Linked DNA regions of Lepisosteus oculatus. The protein of the gene in region 2 binds, or shares a complex with, the protein of the main gene of each other region. Links are inferred from orthologs where the notes say so. Each region holds a gene or a part of one and is shown on either strand. Other genes may lie near its edges.

The links.
Region 1: the proteins of tgfb1b (region 2) and lrrc32 are in contact, whole or in part, in a cryo-EM structure (PDB 8VSC), measured with the Homo sapiens proteins. The link is inferred for Lepisosteus oculatus from reciprocal best matches to the Homo sapiens genes TGFB1 and LRRC32. Residues at the interface, in NP_000651.3 of Homo sapiens: Leu30, Ser31, Thr32, Cys33, Lys34, Pro325, Pro327, Tyr328, Ile329, Trp330, Ser331, Leu332, Thr334, Gln335, Tyr336, Val339, Leu342, His346, Ala353, Pro354; in NP_001122394.1 of Homo sapiens: Ser135, Tyr137, Glu158, Ser160, Thr162, Val184, Met186, Asp187, Ile188, Glu189, Asp190, Phe193, Leu202, Leu204, Arg206, Asn207, Ser208, Leu209, Thr210, Cys211, Ile212, Ser213, Asp214, Phe215, Ser216, Leu217, Leu223, Leu225, Cys227, Ser229.

What each region holds. Positions count from the first base shown.
Region 1 is NC_090700.1:6,485,945-6,493,940, forward strand, and holds the start of lrrc32 (transforming growth factor beta activator LRRC32), read right to left. Parts: upstream 3,033-7,996; 5' UTR 2,124-3,032; coding exon 2,037-2,123; intron 885-2,036; coding exon 786-884; intron 1-785.
Region 2 is NC_090698.1:6,675,554-6,683,048, reverse strand, and holds the start of tgfb1b (transforming growth factor beta-1 proprotein), read right to left. Parts: upstream 3,052-7,495; 5' UTR 156-3,051; coding exon 1-155. Other genes in the region: b9d2 (B9 domain-containing protein 2), read right to left, coding at 3,634-3,947, 4,754-4,879, 5,001-5,088. UniProt on the Homo sapiens protein: Transforming growth factor beta-1 proprotein: Precursor of the Latency-associated peptide (LAP) and Transforming growth factor beta-1 (TGF-beta-1) chains, which constitute the regulatory and active subunit of TGF-beta-1, respectively.

The DNA.
Region 1 (7,996 bases), on a different chromosome or scaffold from region 2:
GAAGTCTACAAGGAGACCTGACGCATGTATTCAACATCCTCAAAGGTGTTGACAACCCAGCTGACTTCTTCAAAATGAACAGTGAACTACATAGAAAAGCATTTCAAACCAAGAGCAGGAGGTGCTTCTGTACCCAAAGGGTGGCAGGAGGGTGGAACAAGCTCGTGTTATAAAGAAGTTTAAAAACTGTTGAAATGTTAGCATTTCTTGTGTTCTTATGAGACAAGGCAAAAACATAGTAGAATCGGCAGAGACTGATGAGAAGCTCATTAAAACAAACAAATAGGCATTCCTGCTGTGAAATCCCAATTTGTTTTTATGACCCATGCTTTTTAGCTAAGAATTTATTCTTCGCTGCTCCTAATATTAGATTAGCCTCACTTAGCGTACAAAAAGTAAAGTGAAATTTAGAAATCTCTGCGTCCAGAAAAGCCTTTTGTTGAGCTCACCTCGCCAACCTGCCTGAAACAGGTATGAGCTCTGCTAGCAATCACCACAGCAGTGAAATGGACAAGCTTCAAAGTGTTACAGCAGCTTCTATGAGCACACTCCTCCAGGTTCCTGTCCTGACACTTCTCTGTGCTCCCCACACGCTGTCATTTAACTCCGAACAAAGGCAACAAGTTCCTCTTACCAGGTCATGCTCGTGAACAGAGAACAACAAGCCGTGAAAGCTGAAGTTTGTTTGAATCAAACGATCCGTCTTCACCACAGTGCTGCATCGCCCACAAGCTCGCGGCAGAGTAAACTGGCCAGCCACACTCACCACGCTTCTGGTCACTTACCATGGGGCAGGGAGAGAGCTGCCGGGGCCGGAATGTGGCCGTCGCTTCATTCGTGACAGCCAGAAGGAACCAGAGATACAGTGCCATCGTGCTCGAAGTCTGGAGCATCAACACCGGAAAAAAAACACACAGAAAATCATGAATGAATAAGAAAAAAGAAAAAACAGAATGAAAGGACTAGACCATGGCTTGGGGGTTTTCAGACGTTGTGTGGGATGAAACTCAATGAGAAGCTGCCTAACAGCTCTGACAGGGAAGTGGAGGCTCTGACAGTGACACTTAATGGCAAAATAGTGAAAATAAAAATGTACTCGATGACTTTGACCTGTGATTGTGTCATTGTCCCACACAATTACAGTATTGTTATCAAATAATCAGGTAGATCGGCTTTTTATTGTTCTTCAGGTTTAATTGGATCCAAAAAATAAACTGCTTAAATACCTTTGTTAAAATCGACGTGCTAAACATGTCACAGTCACTAAGCTGAGTACATACACATGCAAACCCACTTCACATACAATCTTTATCAAAGTAGTTTTATCTATACATTTTTTATCTATAAATGTATCTTTTTTACTACCTCCAGATGTTACTGTTTAAACTTAAGGTGAACTTGGGGTCATAAGGACCTAGAAAATGACTGGTTTCTAAAGTGAAATTAATTGGTAGGAAAGCAGTCCTCACAGTATACCTAAGACAGGAAGCATGTTGTGTGTACGGATCTATTGTGATGTCCATTAACACTACACAGCACCACAGAACTTCCAATCTTGACAATACAGTCAAAACCATCTAAAAGCACCTGATTCTTTTAATCCATGTACAGTTTGTTACAAATCTGAGAATACAAAATAACAGGAAACACCTACAGATCAGCCATTCTTTTAAAAAGTCTGTTTAAAGGTTAGCTATAATTAAATATGTAACACACAGTCTGCATTTACTCACCAAAATTGACTAATTAAGAACTTATCAATGGCTTATCAACTGCTCCTGGACACAGTGCTCAGGCAGATATGAGTGTGACAACTTTCTGAATGAATACATTGAAATATTTATAGGCCATTTGTTGAGGAAAATAAGGAGCTACCTTTTCAAACTATTACTGTTAAACTGTTGAACTTAGAAGTGTGCTTAAACACATTTTAATTTAGGTCTTAAACAGAAAAGGCTTTTAGTTACACTTCTATAGAAATTCTATTACCAAAGTACATTACAAATTTTAAAGCAACAATCAAAGTGTATTTTTACGTGTATGCAGTAATATAGATGTGCCACAGTCGGGTGTCCTGGGTTCAATTCTTGGTTGCAGAGCCTGCACAGTCTCCTTATGTTCATGTGGGTTTTCTCCAGGTGCACCAATTTCTGCAGTATGTCTTGTTCCCTGTGTCTGCTAGGTTAGTCTCCGGTTGACAGGAGAATGAAGTAGTGGACACAGCATGGATGTCATAATACAGTTAAGACAATTTCTCACTCTGTCATATTATATACAGTATATACCTCATGCAGATAGACAGGTAGATTCCTGTTAGTTAAGTTGTCATGTTCTTTTCTAGATTATTTTCCTAACTGCTCCTCTCGCAGGGGTGGGAAGTTGCCCATTTTTATCAAACATTGCAATTGGAAATCCAATTGCTTTATGACATATGCAAGCTATCAAACAAGACTTGGTTGCAATGTTGTCCTTGGAGAGGTTACTTGGTTATTGCTTGCATGAGCCACTAAAATGAAAGCCACAAACACACTGGACTGCACTTAGCAACAAGTCCCACAGCAGCAACAAATACTGTCCAGAAAATCAAACCTGTCTCATGTGGTAAAACCACAAAGACACGTCTGAGTATTTTTACCACCTCTTGTAGGAGTTTTTTTCCTTCTGAATTTAAATGCTTAAAAGTTTGTTTCTTACTTTAGTTTAAAGACTTAAAGTTCCTGTGACATCCAACTATGATAAGACTTTAAATTCCACTGTTTACATTGTCTTGATTAGAAAACGTGTATATCTTCGAAAAAGTGGCAGGTATTGCCATAGGAACTCATAGCTTCTCACGCCGATATATATGCCTAGCTCTCTGCCTTTCCAATTCTTTCTGTCTTGGGAAACAGCCCACTTTCATCCTTCCCACACTAGTTCCACTTCTCAAAATTCCTTTCCAGCTCTCCTCTTTCTGTGGCCATTCTCCCTTCCTCGTGTCTCATTTCATTTGTATCATGTGCATCGAACAAAGCAAGCAAAATCGACAAAAAGTCAAGTTACCTTCTGGTAAGAATTATTTCCCCCTCCAGAGTGTGCTGCTCATGTTGCTGCTGTGATGCTCACACATCCTCCCTGACTGCTGTCCAGCTGGCTCTGCCCCTGCACCTTTCAGCTATAGACGGCAGCTAATACATCCTGTGGGAATATCCTGCAGGATTGCTTTTTTTTCCCCCCGTCAGTTCCTTATTTGGGATTGGGAAGTCCATGTTTTCTCTCTTATCTGACAACACATGGTGAAACAGGGTCCTAATGCTTCATGCTTCAAAATGTGTCTAACTTTATAAGACTCCTATCTCCTCACATCCGGGATGGCACTGCTCAACATGCAATACGGCACATAAACAGTTTAAAATTCCGTGCGTGTTTTCCATGCGAATACAAAATGCAAACTTTGAAACATGTTTATTCTTTTCTGTAAGTATTCCTCCCCCCTTACCACTGTTTTTTGGTTTATTTTAAGATTTTACAGGCCCTGCAATTATGTCTTTGTAGAATTTTAAAGGCGTTACTACTTACTACTCCAGTGAGTAACCCTCTGCTAGATGGAAGAAATTCTTTAAAAGAATACCCAGCCGCCAGGTAATCCATCAGTAACACCTGCCTAACCCCACCTTCAGGAAGTCCAGCTAGTAGCCTACATGGCTCAGCAAAAACCCTTTTCCCAGAATTTCTGGGACACAGGTAAAAGCAACCGGTATCAAAAAGCATTTTCCTGCAGCTGGTCCTGGGAGGACCACAAAAGCTGAAGCTCAAGGTTGTTACAAAACAGCAGAGATCCAGCCTGTCTTTCTGTTTGCCTACTCAAGACTTACAGACATGACAAGGCTTGAACAGAGGTTTTGTTAGCCTCTAAGCGCATTCACTTTTCATTGAGCAATCTACAACTCCAATCTTCACAAACTGGAAAACATTTTTTTTTCACAACAAGAGAGCTCTGTCAGCTTTGAGAATAATAGATGACTAAAGCTTACTGACATTTTTTAAGGGCACAAATTGAAAAGGTCATGAATTTCCCATTTTTTTGTTTGTGTCTATTTTTTACTGAACATGCGAATCAAATGGCTTACAGGTTCAATTGTGTAATTGGCTTGTGGCAGCAGGTGTTTTTAATGAATAGACTACTGTATTTTTTTATTTCCTTACCAAAGCCTTGAGGAAACAACAGTCTTTTTCCTTGTCAAATTATATAAAAAATGTTGTTTGAAGATACAGTGGGCAGCTAATTGATCTCAATAATAATAATAATAATAATAATAATAATAATAGGTAGTTGAGAGAAAGACAACATTTTTATCTCCACCACTTGAAGCTAGTACAGTGCCACCTGTCTCTAATAAATAAGTTAAAACACTTGCAACCAAAGATTTTAGCAAAGGTTCACTTCTGATATTATTGAGTGTTATAGGTTAACCTACATAATATAAGGCGTGAATTTAAAGATGCCACTGTGATTATTCTTAGGCAAGTGTCTATTATTATAATTTCTTATTACCAAGATTTTAAAAATACAATAATATTTTCTTTGTCAGATATACGAGTCTTTTAGGAACACCAGAAGGGGTCATCAGTTTGCTTAGCGGAAAGCAGCGCATTTCCATTGGATGTTCTCAACGAAACTGATCAGAAAATTTGCACATCAGTCATTGCACCTGGAAGACATTATTACGGAAGACGCGATAACCTACCTGCTCTCCTGTGAGGTGAAATAACAGTGTTGTTGTTGTTTGTTTTTTGCCGAGTCTCAGAGTTAATCCAGACTAGCACAAGGATGCTGGGATCTTGCTTCTGTCGCGAACATCCCAGAAAACATCACCGCGTCTCAAGTTCACGAGCCAAGTTTTTTTTTTTAAATTAAACTTCCAAGCTTAAACCCTGCTGGACCACCGCCTGATGTCCATGCTGCTTCGGTGCGTTTCCAGCATTGCTGCAGCTTGCCTCTTGTATTCCGACATTGACTTTCTCTTGCAGATTAATGTTTGGAGACTTGGGTGTTCTGAGTAGTATAGTGCCAGCGGGAAGAGGGGATTTCCCATTTTCTGTGGGAGAGCTCCCTCAGGGATTCCCTATAGCTGGGCGCAGATTTTAAATAAGGCTCATTCATTTGCATACATCTTGCACAAATTCGTTCGCGAGTTACGTTTCCTTTTTTTTTTTACAAGCATTATTTTAATAATGTGTGCCTTTCCGTTTGTCTCCTTTCTGACTCCTTTCGGATTTTATATTTTCGTCCGTCATCACTTTGAAGGGTGGCCGTGACGACAGGTACATTAAAGAGCGAGCCTAAGTCGAACAAAAACAAAACGTTTTTCTTGTCATATTGTGTCATGCCACCTTGTGATGTTGCTGCTTAATTGCAGTCCAGCCGGCGGGAATGACCATTGACCTTGAGTACGAGACTAAACAGGGAAGAAGTGCGGTATTTTAATCATTGTCTCCATCTAGTGGCGCAGAAGCGTTATAAAGGAATCTTCCGTGGTGATTGTCATTGACGTTACTGTGTGGCTACTACACAGAAAAGGAAACACGACGTTTCGGCTGTGGAGCCTTCTTCACACCCGAAGAAGGCTCCACAGCCGAAACGTGTTTTCTCTCTTCTCTTTTCAGCATGGAATAAACCTATTACTTGTTCATTTGCAGGATAAGCATGCTGACGCAGCTACCCACCTGAACTACTGTACATTAAAATCTGCATAAACATACAGGTGATCCTGGACAACCCTGCCAGCCGACTGAAAGTGTCTTATTGGTGACCGATCCTAAGCAAAATAATGCAAAAAAAAATGCAAACCTAACGCAACATAGAAGATGTCACTGAAACGTGCATAAAATGTGTCGCTAATGCATACAAGAGTTGTTTTAACCTCTTATCAACGTAATCTCTGCTGCAAAAACACAAAACAACCAAACAATATTTCCCACAGTTCTTAAAATGCTTAACGCCAAAACAGTGGGTTTTTTCGCGTTCTCACAGAAATTGCTGATGCGGAAACAAAGCTAAACTTTGACACAGGGCAGCGATTTCTTTTTTCACACTGTTAGCAGGATCTTTTATCAGTGTCATACAGTACATCCGTGATTTAAGTGACGGTTTTTGGGCTTTGACGTGCCAGTTATTTCTGGTCACGGTTTTAATGCATTATTCGCTGAAAAGTAAATAGCACTGGATGTATTAAAACTTGGTAGACATTAATTTTCTTTGCGTTTATCTGTGGTAAAACATTTTCTATGATGAATTGAAACTGTAAACGAGTTGATCAAGTAATCCAGTCTTCACCAGGAGGACTGGTTTAAAACTAAAACATAAAGATGTGTTTTATTACCAGTGTTGTTTTCAACCTATACAAATGAAAAGCAGATTAATGATGGTGTTTTGCTTAAATAGTATAGCCTTGACCAAACACTCTACTGTGATCGAGTGTTAGCTCTTATCGATTGGTGCCAATCAATCACTTTTGAAATAAAAGTCAGGAAAACAAAACAATTATGCTACACTCTGGCAGAATTTGAGCCAACCACACTGCAACCTATAAATACAAATGTTCAGCTTGTGGAGATGGTTCGTTGTTTTTAATATCTATGTGTGTTCATTGATAATAAACTAAGCTTTTCAGACGACACAGAGTATATTTTTGATAAAACCATGCAGGGATGACTTCACCGACTTGACTGTATGCATACTGTAAAACACACTGGACGGTTTATGTATTCTGTATTACACTGGTCTTATTGTTGTCTTGTTGAGGCCAAAGGAAAATTTAGTAAATATTAATATAGTATTAAAAATAAAAACATCGCATCTAGTTAACCTTAGAAACCTTTCCAGCTGATATATGTATATAGTACTATAATTTGAATTAACCAGATAGAAATGCCAATTTCTATCAATAGGTCTGTGGTTTAACTGTACTCTCTCGGTACCAGCAGATGTCAGTGTTGATCTAAACTGTTCCCAGGGAAAGCAAGACAAAACGACGGGCCAGGAAGCCCTCGTACACACAATTCGCTTCATTGCGTCTGTCAGATTCATGTTGAATTCAGGAACCAAACGGTAACTATGAGGAAGTGCGTTTCAAAGTGTCAACGGGAGACCTTCTCATGCACAAGGGCCTGCTGGACTGTGAAACTACCCAACCTTGCCGTTGAACCTAATATTCTGTCTTCCCCCAGAGAAACACCTGGATAAGCTCCCCAGCTAGCTATAAACAGGCTGCACCTCTCTTTTCGTTTGTAAACCTTCAAGCGTTTTTATGTTATATCTAATGACCGACGCTTGAGCTCTATACGACCGGGGGGCAGCTGCAGTCTAATTCGCGGTCGAAAGGAGGACGAGCACAATAGAGCAGGAGCTCTGGGATGATTTCCGCTTCTCGTCGAAATCGGGTGCCCTCTCCATGCGCTCGACCTGACGCGAGCTCCATCCGTCTTCCCCTCCTCGTTTCACGTCTTCGCCCACCTGACCTCTCTTCTGCTAAATAAAGCGCTGTTAGAAATAAAAAATAAATAAAGCCGACGTTATGGTATATTAACGGCGGTACAGAAAGCAAGTGTCCCATCTAAACTAATTTAAACTAATTTAAATTTTAATAAACTAATTTTAAATAACTAAAGTCCCATCTAAAACTAACTAAAAAGATTGTGATCTTTTATTTTCTGATACGTGTCTTGAATCAGATGATAACATTTAGCCTGTTGCTTGCTCGAAAGCTTTGGATTCTGGTCTATACACAGTACAAAGAGATAATTCATCCTCGTCCGGTGATACCCTGAAGGAGAACTGGACTCAACAAATATATTTAAAGGGGATCTTGACCGCCTGTTCCAGCCCCTGTAATTAATGCTGCCTAATAACATCACTGTTCTGTATGCACGGCGGAAACGTCGTTTCGAATCGACAGCTAAGTATAAAATAATATATTTTAAAACAACATGAAATATTCACATAATTAACAATAAT
Region 2 (7,495 bases):
ATGCGCAGCTTGCTCAGGATCTGCCCCCGGATCGCCTCGATGCGCTTGCGCTTCGCCAGCTCTAGGTCCAGCGGCTTGCAGGTCGACAGGGCGAAGACCTGGCTCAGGCTGCCTAGCAACCACAGGCCCAGGAACAACAAGCGGTCCGATCTCATGGTGACCAGAACAAGCGCCCCAACGTACCGACAGTGTCCTCGCTGTCTTTTACTCAAGCACAACGCAGGTTTATGGAAATCCTGCTCTGGTATATGTAACCTGTGTATTAATTAAATGTTTGAGTGTCAGTCTAGCCGGCTACAAACTGCTTGATTGATGTCCTGTTGTGCTCTGGCGGTCCTGTTACACAGCCCTCGGTTGTCCAGCACGTTGAGATGGGGGAGGAATTAAACAGATGAAGTCTTGTTGAGTTATCTTCAGGCTCTGTGTAGTGGTTGGACTTCCCTCTAAAAGCGTCCAGTGCTACTGCCTCACATAAGAGAACTCCCGTGTCTCAAGGCAAGGGAGGAGACTACCCCTCTTTGACAAGCCTGACAGCACGTTGCCACAAGTCTCCCTGTCTCAGCACAGGTGACAATGCAGGATTTTAGGGCTACAGGTGTCCTCAGCATCAGCCTCTCTGCCTGTGACAACTGGAGACGGTCGTCTTACCTCTGTGGCCTCCTTTATGAAAAGCCGTCTCTCTCCACAGCTGGGCTGCAATGGAGAGGGGGCTCAGCTCTGGTCTCCCCGCCTGGAAACTAGGGGTCTCCCTTCTCTGCTTTCGTCTCTTCGTCCCCAATCTTTACTCTCTGTATTCTTGGCTTCAAGCTCTCTGTCCCTCACGCTTGTTGACTCTCTGTCCCTTCATCTTTTTCGTTTTTTACCCCGACCACTGCTAATTCTTTCTTCGTTCGTTTTAGAGTCTCTCTTTATCTACTTCCTTCCTTCTCGCTGTGACTCCCCTCCTCCTCTCCACGATCAAGTTGAAGCGGTAAAGAAGAAAACAGAAGTACTCTCAGATGACCCGGACTTCCTGAGACAGATCTGTTAGCTTGCCTTGCCGGTGACACTCCGGATCAGACCGCTTCAGACAGCAGTAGCAGATATTAAAGCTGACCAGCCTTCTCACCAAAAGGTACAAGGACAGAGCAAGAGAGCCAACACACGCAGCACACTATCACAGAAGAGCTGTTCTCTTCAAATAAACAAATAAATACAGAACACGTTCTGAGACAATAAATAATCCGCTACCAGCAACTGAATTAAAACAGTGGGGGGGGAATTGGGATTAATAAATTAAAAAAGACTATAAATACATTTATATATATATATAAAAGCTCAATAAGCTAAAAATTTGTAATGTATCTAAAGGAAACTGGTACTCCTCATTTCACCATCAGCAGTTTCAATTCTGCTTCAAAACAAAACACAGAGGCTTAAAAATAAAGTCTGTTTTTTTTTCCAAAATAACAGTTCTTCCCTGTAGTATGCGCAGAGAGAGTGTGAGAGGAGCCCAGAGGGGATGAGGTGTTACAGAGCGTAGGAGAAGGCAGCCCAGAGGAAGCCGAATAATGTGCCTGGAAAAAAGCAGCAGTAACAGCAAGGCACCCCTCTGACACAGCAGCCAGAGCCCAGAGCACCTCTCAATTACAACCCAACGTACCACCTCCCCCACCTTTCCTTGTCTGGACCCTATTAGAAATATTAAAGCAACTGGAAGAAGGCAAAAGAAACTACTCCCTTCCTTCCAACCAAGCCGAAGAGCCGTGCTCTTTCCAAAAATAAAACTCAACAAACAAACAGAGGAGCCGTTTCAAGGCAAAAAAGGTGAAACAAATATTTAAAGGGAATTTCTTGAAAATAAACCTTAAGACGCTAAAGCACAAACATTTGAAAAGAACAGAGTATGAAAATCAAGCAGCTCAAACCAGTCTGTGTGTCTCAGCAGGAGTTGTAGTGCTAGCTGTAGTAAGTGTTCATTCGGAGCTCCTCTATTAAAAGTTTTGATCCGAACGTAGTCTTTCTTTCTCACTCTGTGTCCCGATTTGTCTGTTTTTCGTCTCTTTAACTGATTTTCCCCCCCGTTTATCAGCTCTCTGGCTCTCTGTTAAGAGCTCGGAACCTTTCTCTTTCAGCCACTTTTCTTTTTCTGTTCACGCTCTCTCTCTCTCCTCAACTACTTCTGCTTGTCAGAGCTTGCTAGTGACAAAATGATTAGTGAGGGCTGTTCCATACCCTCCCTCCCTCTATTTAATTTTTTTCGTTCCTGTTGCAGCTCTAAAAGAGCCAGAAACTCTCCGCCCAGGAAATGAGGGTAAACGGATGCAACGCTAGAACATCTGTTTCTTCTCCGACTGTGAGAGTGTTGCTCTCTCTTCATACAGAAAGACTTGGAAGTCTGAGTAGCTACCAAGACAGCTGAATAACCCACTGACTCACTAACTGAGTGACACACTGACCGGCTGACTGACACACTGACAGACGGACAGGCAAAGTGAACTAACTAAAACAAAGTGATCAGATAACACATTTCTGCGCAGTAGCGATTGACCGTGACTTGAATAAGTCCAACAGCCAGGAAATACTATGGGGAAGTTTATTAGTGTGGTTCTTAGTCTACTGCACATAGATAATTCCTATTGCACTATCTTCCCCTGCACATGTCCTCTCAAAGACCTCAAACACATCTTTCCTTCCTTTTTCCACAGGGCTACCCCACACGGCACAGAACAACAGGAGACAAGATACACTGAAACAGGGGGATACAAGAACACAATGAGTTACAAACTCACACTGTGAAACACAAATCCACTCAGTCGCACATTATAGTACACACTCTCGCACTCAAACAAAAACACTGTCACTTGTGCACAAACAAGCCTCCCACACCGAGATACTGAAAGAGAACACATCTCTCTTGCCCTACGCAGAAGAACCATGCAGAAAGATTAAGACAATTATGAGGAATACAATCATTCAAAACAATAAAAACAGGTTAGTAAAGAGAAAAGATGACAATCATGATATATAGTAAGTGGAAAAAGATGAAAGGAAAGATGGCAAAGAAGAAGATAAAGGTAAGAAGCAGCAGCACAAGAGCCCTCAAACAAGAGGCACAAGACCTCATAGTTTCATTTACTGACCCACAATTAAACATCGGAGAAACTATGGAAAACCAAACTTTTAATATATGCGTTTTAAAAAAGTAAAATGGTTTCCAACTCTAAAACACAATACATATATAAAAATATACAAAAGTCACGCTGGGTTCAAATACAAAAATTCATTTTAACAAAGAATGGGATTAGTTTCATTGCGTGTGACTGTCAACGTGTTAATGGGAACTTGTATGAGAGATGCCATTCCAAGACTCAGCCTGCCCCCTTGTGGCAGAGCAGGGGTAGAGCCATACTTACAAAGAGCATGATACCTGTCCACACACAGCAACTGTTTCCCCTCTTTCCCTGCTGAGGTCCAGAACTGGACAGACCTGAGAGCCGTCCTGAGTTTTCCACTGCAGACAGCTCGCAGCCTGCTGGCCTCCTCAAGTCCTCACATCCCCTCCCATTCTCTCTCTCGTTCTCCCTCTCGCCCCACACACCAAACCCTCTCTCAAACCTTCCCCTGCGCTTCCCTTCTGCCTCTCCTCCTCTCTCAGCTCTCTACTCCGTAGCGGTCGAAGTGTCTCAAGACGATGCTCAGCTCCAGGTCCACGGTGCCCGAAGCCACCGTGTGCAGTCTGTAGCGGTCTGCCCCAGTGTAGATGAGGTCAGGGGAGCGCAGCTGTGGCCCCCCTCCCACGAAGGTCTGCACCAGCCTGTCCTGCCAGGGCCCCAGGGGCCGCCAGGTGCCGCAACGCAGTCGGTGGTGCCCAGGGCTGGAGGGCACGTGGCAGAACCCATAGCCAGCCATCTGGCAGCGGCCAAACGAGTCCTGGTCCCACACCTGCAGGTGCAGCTTGGGCCACCCTGGAGAGACAAAGCTCAAGTCAAACTGTTCTTTCCAGATGGAGTAAAAAAAAATAATCAAAAAGCAAACCCCAAAAAATCCAGGTCAGTGCAAGTCTTCCATTCACCCAGATGGATATTTCTTCCCCATAACTGAATTCTGCAAACCCCTCGTTTTTCATAGGAACTACAGTATAACCCTTGACAGTGGGAGTCAACGTTAGCTTGTCTTCATCCATCCAAGAAACAAAGAGCAAGGGTTAACTCTGCTGAAACTGCAGTTCAGAATGCTTGACGTCACTGCACAGCACATGTGAAAAGATGCGGTCCTCTTGCAGTAAAAGGGAGGCCCACAGCAAAGTGTGTGGACACACTGAAAACATCAGTACAGAAACATCAGCTCTGAGCTGGAGACAACATACTGTAAGGTGAAATTGATCTTAAAAAAAAGTGTGCTCAATACAAATGGCAATTTTATGCATTCATAAATCAAACTCTGGGCCATTTCAGTTCACTGTTAAATACAGCGCAGAAACCATTAACCAAAGGAAGAAGGTTTACATAGATGTGCATTAAAATGAGTTAACTCGACAGATGAACAGACAATGTGCTGTAAGGTATGATTACAGTTGTGGGGCAACATTTATGTTGTTTTTTTCCAAATCACAGAGACTGAGAGGACAGGAAGAAAGGGGAAACAGAGAGAGAAAGGAGAGGAACAGAATGAGAAACAGGAAGAAAAGGGGAAAGACAGGAGAGAGGACAGAAAGAGAAGAGAGGTAAGCAACTGAGACAGGGAAAAGGGAAAGAGAAGGAGGAGGAAGTACCTTGCAGTCCCTTGGTGGCAAAGTGTAGGTCTATGGGATGGCTCCAATAGGCCACTTCACCAATCTGGGGAGAGTCCACCTGTGTCTGCCCTTCCCTCAGCCCTGACAGCAGGCGCCATGCCCCTCCTGCAACACACACAACACTGTAACGCACGTGCACTGTGTCCTCACTGAGATAAGGGAGGACATCAAATCATTGAAGGTTTAGAACTGAGTGAAGGTAGGCCTGATCATGGCTGGTGAATACCTGTGTGGACACCCCACTTGCAGAAGAGGCTGTTCTGAGGGAAGCCACTGGCCCCCACAATCTGGCCTATAATGTGCAGCTCCGCCATCCTGCTGAGAGAGAAACACCCTTACACACTGGCAGACACAAGACACAACAGAACACCGTTACACACTGGCAGACAGAAGATACAACAGAACACCGTTACACACTGGCAGACACAAGACACAACAGGACACTATTTCACACTGACACTGGAAAGATAAATGAAATACAGGTACTGTCAAAACTTTAAGCCTGTATACAAGTAAAGCAAAAAAAGTGAATGATACTGTATACGAAATACACTTCACAGGTAAGGTAGATTGTTCTCATTATCAGCATCATCCTGTAGCAATAGCCATCTATTCTGCCATCTCGTCACAGGTTTACGGACACCCTCATCTTACAACAATGCTGGCTGGTCCCTGAACTGTTCCGGCACCGAGACCAGCTGTCAGTGCTAACGATCTGACCTGGGAAATCATACCTCACCTAAAGGCTGCTGCGCTGAGGAAGAAATCAGATCACAGAGGCAAAGAGCACCATACTGCAATGTGAGAGAGGACTACACTGCAGTGGGCACTGGCCAGGGTTATTTTAGAACAGGAGCACCCATAACCTTGTGAAACATTCCAATGGATTTCTATTACATGCATAGGGAACAATGGTGATAAATAAAGGTCATATAATTGTTAGGTGACAAACAAGATGAATGTGCTTCCCCTTCGTTTCCACTTGTTCGCTTGTTTTGCTCTGTTGATTCTGAAGACATCCAATGGGCTGATGTTCTCAATGGCCCGGAGGATTTTAAACACCCGAGTCAGTTCCTTCACCTTTGAAGAACGTTCATTGGATGATCAATTCACAGACTCACTTAATTAACTTGCTCTCATATTGAGCCCACTGAAGTGCTGGTCTGTATGTCTGGAAAAACATTACCATCACGCAGGGGGACCAGTGGATACCAGCAGATTAAACCATGGAACATGACCAAGGGGACACACACTGTACTGTATGTAAACTATGCTGAAACGCTTTAAGAGCATAGAACAAACGCTTCTTTAGCCAAAGAGTAGGGAACAAAACAAGCTACCCAGCCTTGTTGTTGAAACCATTTCACAGACGTCTTTACTAAAACGATTGGATAAGCTCCTTGGATCAATTAATAACCATCAAATGGGCTAGATGGCCTCCTCTTTTGTAATGTAATCTTTATAATATTATTGCTGATCTTCTTATGTCTAATCTGTCTTATGTTCTTATCACACTGCTCAGATTCAGTGCAGATGCATCCTCAAAGCTGCATTCTTCAATCTATTAATGATACAATTGCTTCTTTCAGGCTACTCTGTTGTTACAAACTGGAAAATAATGATTCAATTTAATTTTAATCACTCTGAAATTAAGTTGGGAGTGAAAAGGGGAAGGCACTTGTGGTAGGATGCTCTTAACTCACGTTTTAACGCATTTTATAGCATGCTGTTACGAACCCATTGTTAATAAATCACACACTATGCACTGTGATAGAAATACGAGCTGTTTCCTACTGGCAGGCGCGTCAAGTTACTTGCAGAAAAAAATCAGGTGTTTGATCCTTGTAAAATAATAACTCCAGAAACCTGGAAAAGGGTGTGAAATAACATTTTATTCTACTGTAACATCACACCGTTCCGTTATCTGGCACAACCTAGACCAGTCTGTCCAGTTACCAGATAGTAAACAATGCAGGTGCTGTTCCAAGCGGTAAAGACGCTCTCGAGATTGTATTTCATGTAATATAAAAAAACAGCTTTATAGAGTGGTGAGACACCTCACGACTTAATCCCGAAGACACCGAAATTTTACCTTCAATCCTCCCGGTGCTTTCCAGGTTTGTTTTACTTCATTAATCAAATTAACTTTCCTTGTTTACATTCAAGCGGCGGTCTCCAGGGCTAGAGAGGCGAGTCCCCGCCACTTCCTTAGCAACCCGACACCGGGCTCTGCCATTGGTCCTTGATGTCACGTGGTCCCGGGCTCGGGTTTTTTTTTAAGGTAGTCGGGACGCTGTCGAACCGCCGTCCGGGAAGTACTGTAATTACAGGTAAAATAAAGTGAGCTGATCTGACCAAACAATCGATCAATGAGAGCTGGCCCAAAACCAAATGGTACCACGAGGATCAAGTTCCCATCGATGAGTTACTGCAGGTAACACCCGTGGGCTCTTTATCGATTAATGACCCACCCCAGTGCGTGTTCTCCACGCAGGCGTGCGTGGAGACTGACGGACCTGCTCGAAATATCGCCCTGGACCTATGCCTTGGTTTCCCCTGAGTGTGTACGAAGTGTCATTGCTCCATTCATCTTATAACTAGCACACATAAAGAGTATTGCAGTGGAACAGTACAGTTCTGACACACTGCGCGGAACGGTACTGATGTGTACTACATTACAAGGATAAGGAAAACGAACAGTTGGTGCAGAACTGTGCAGTA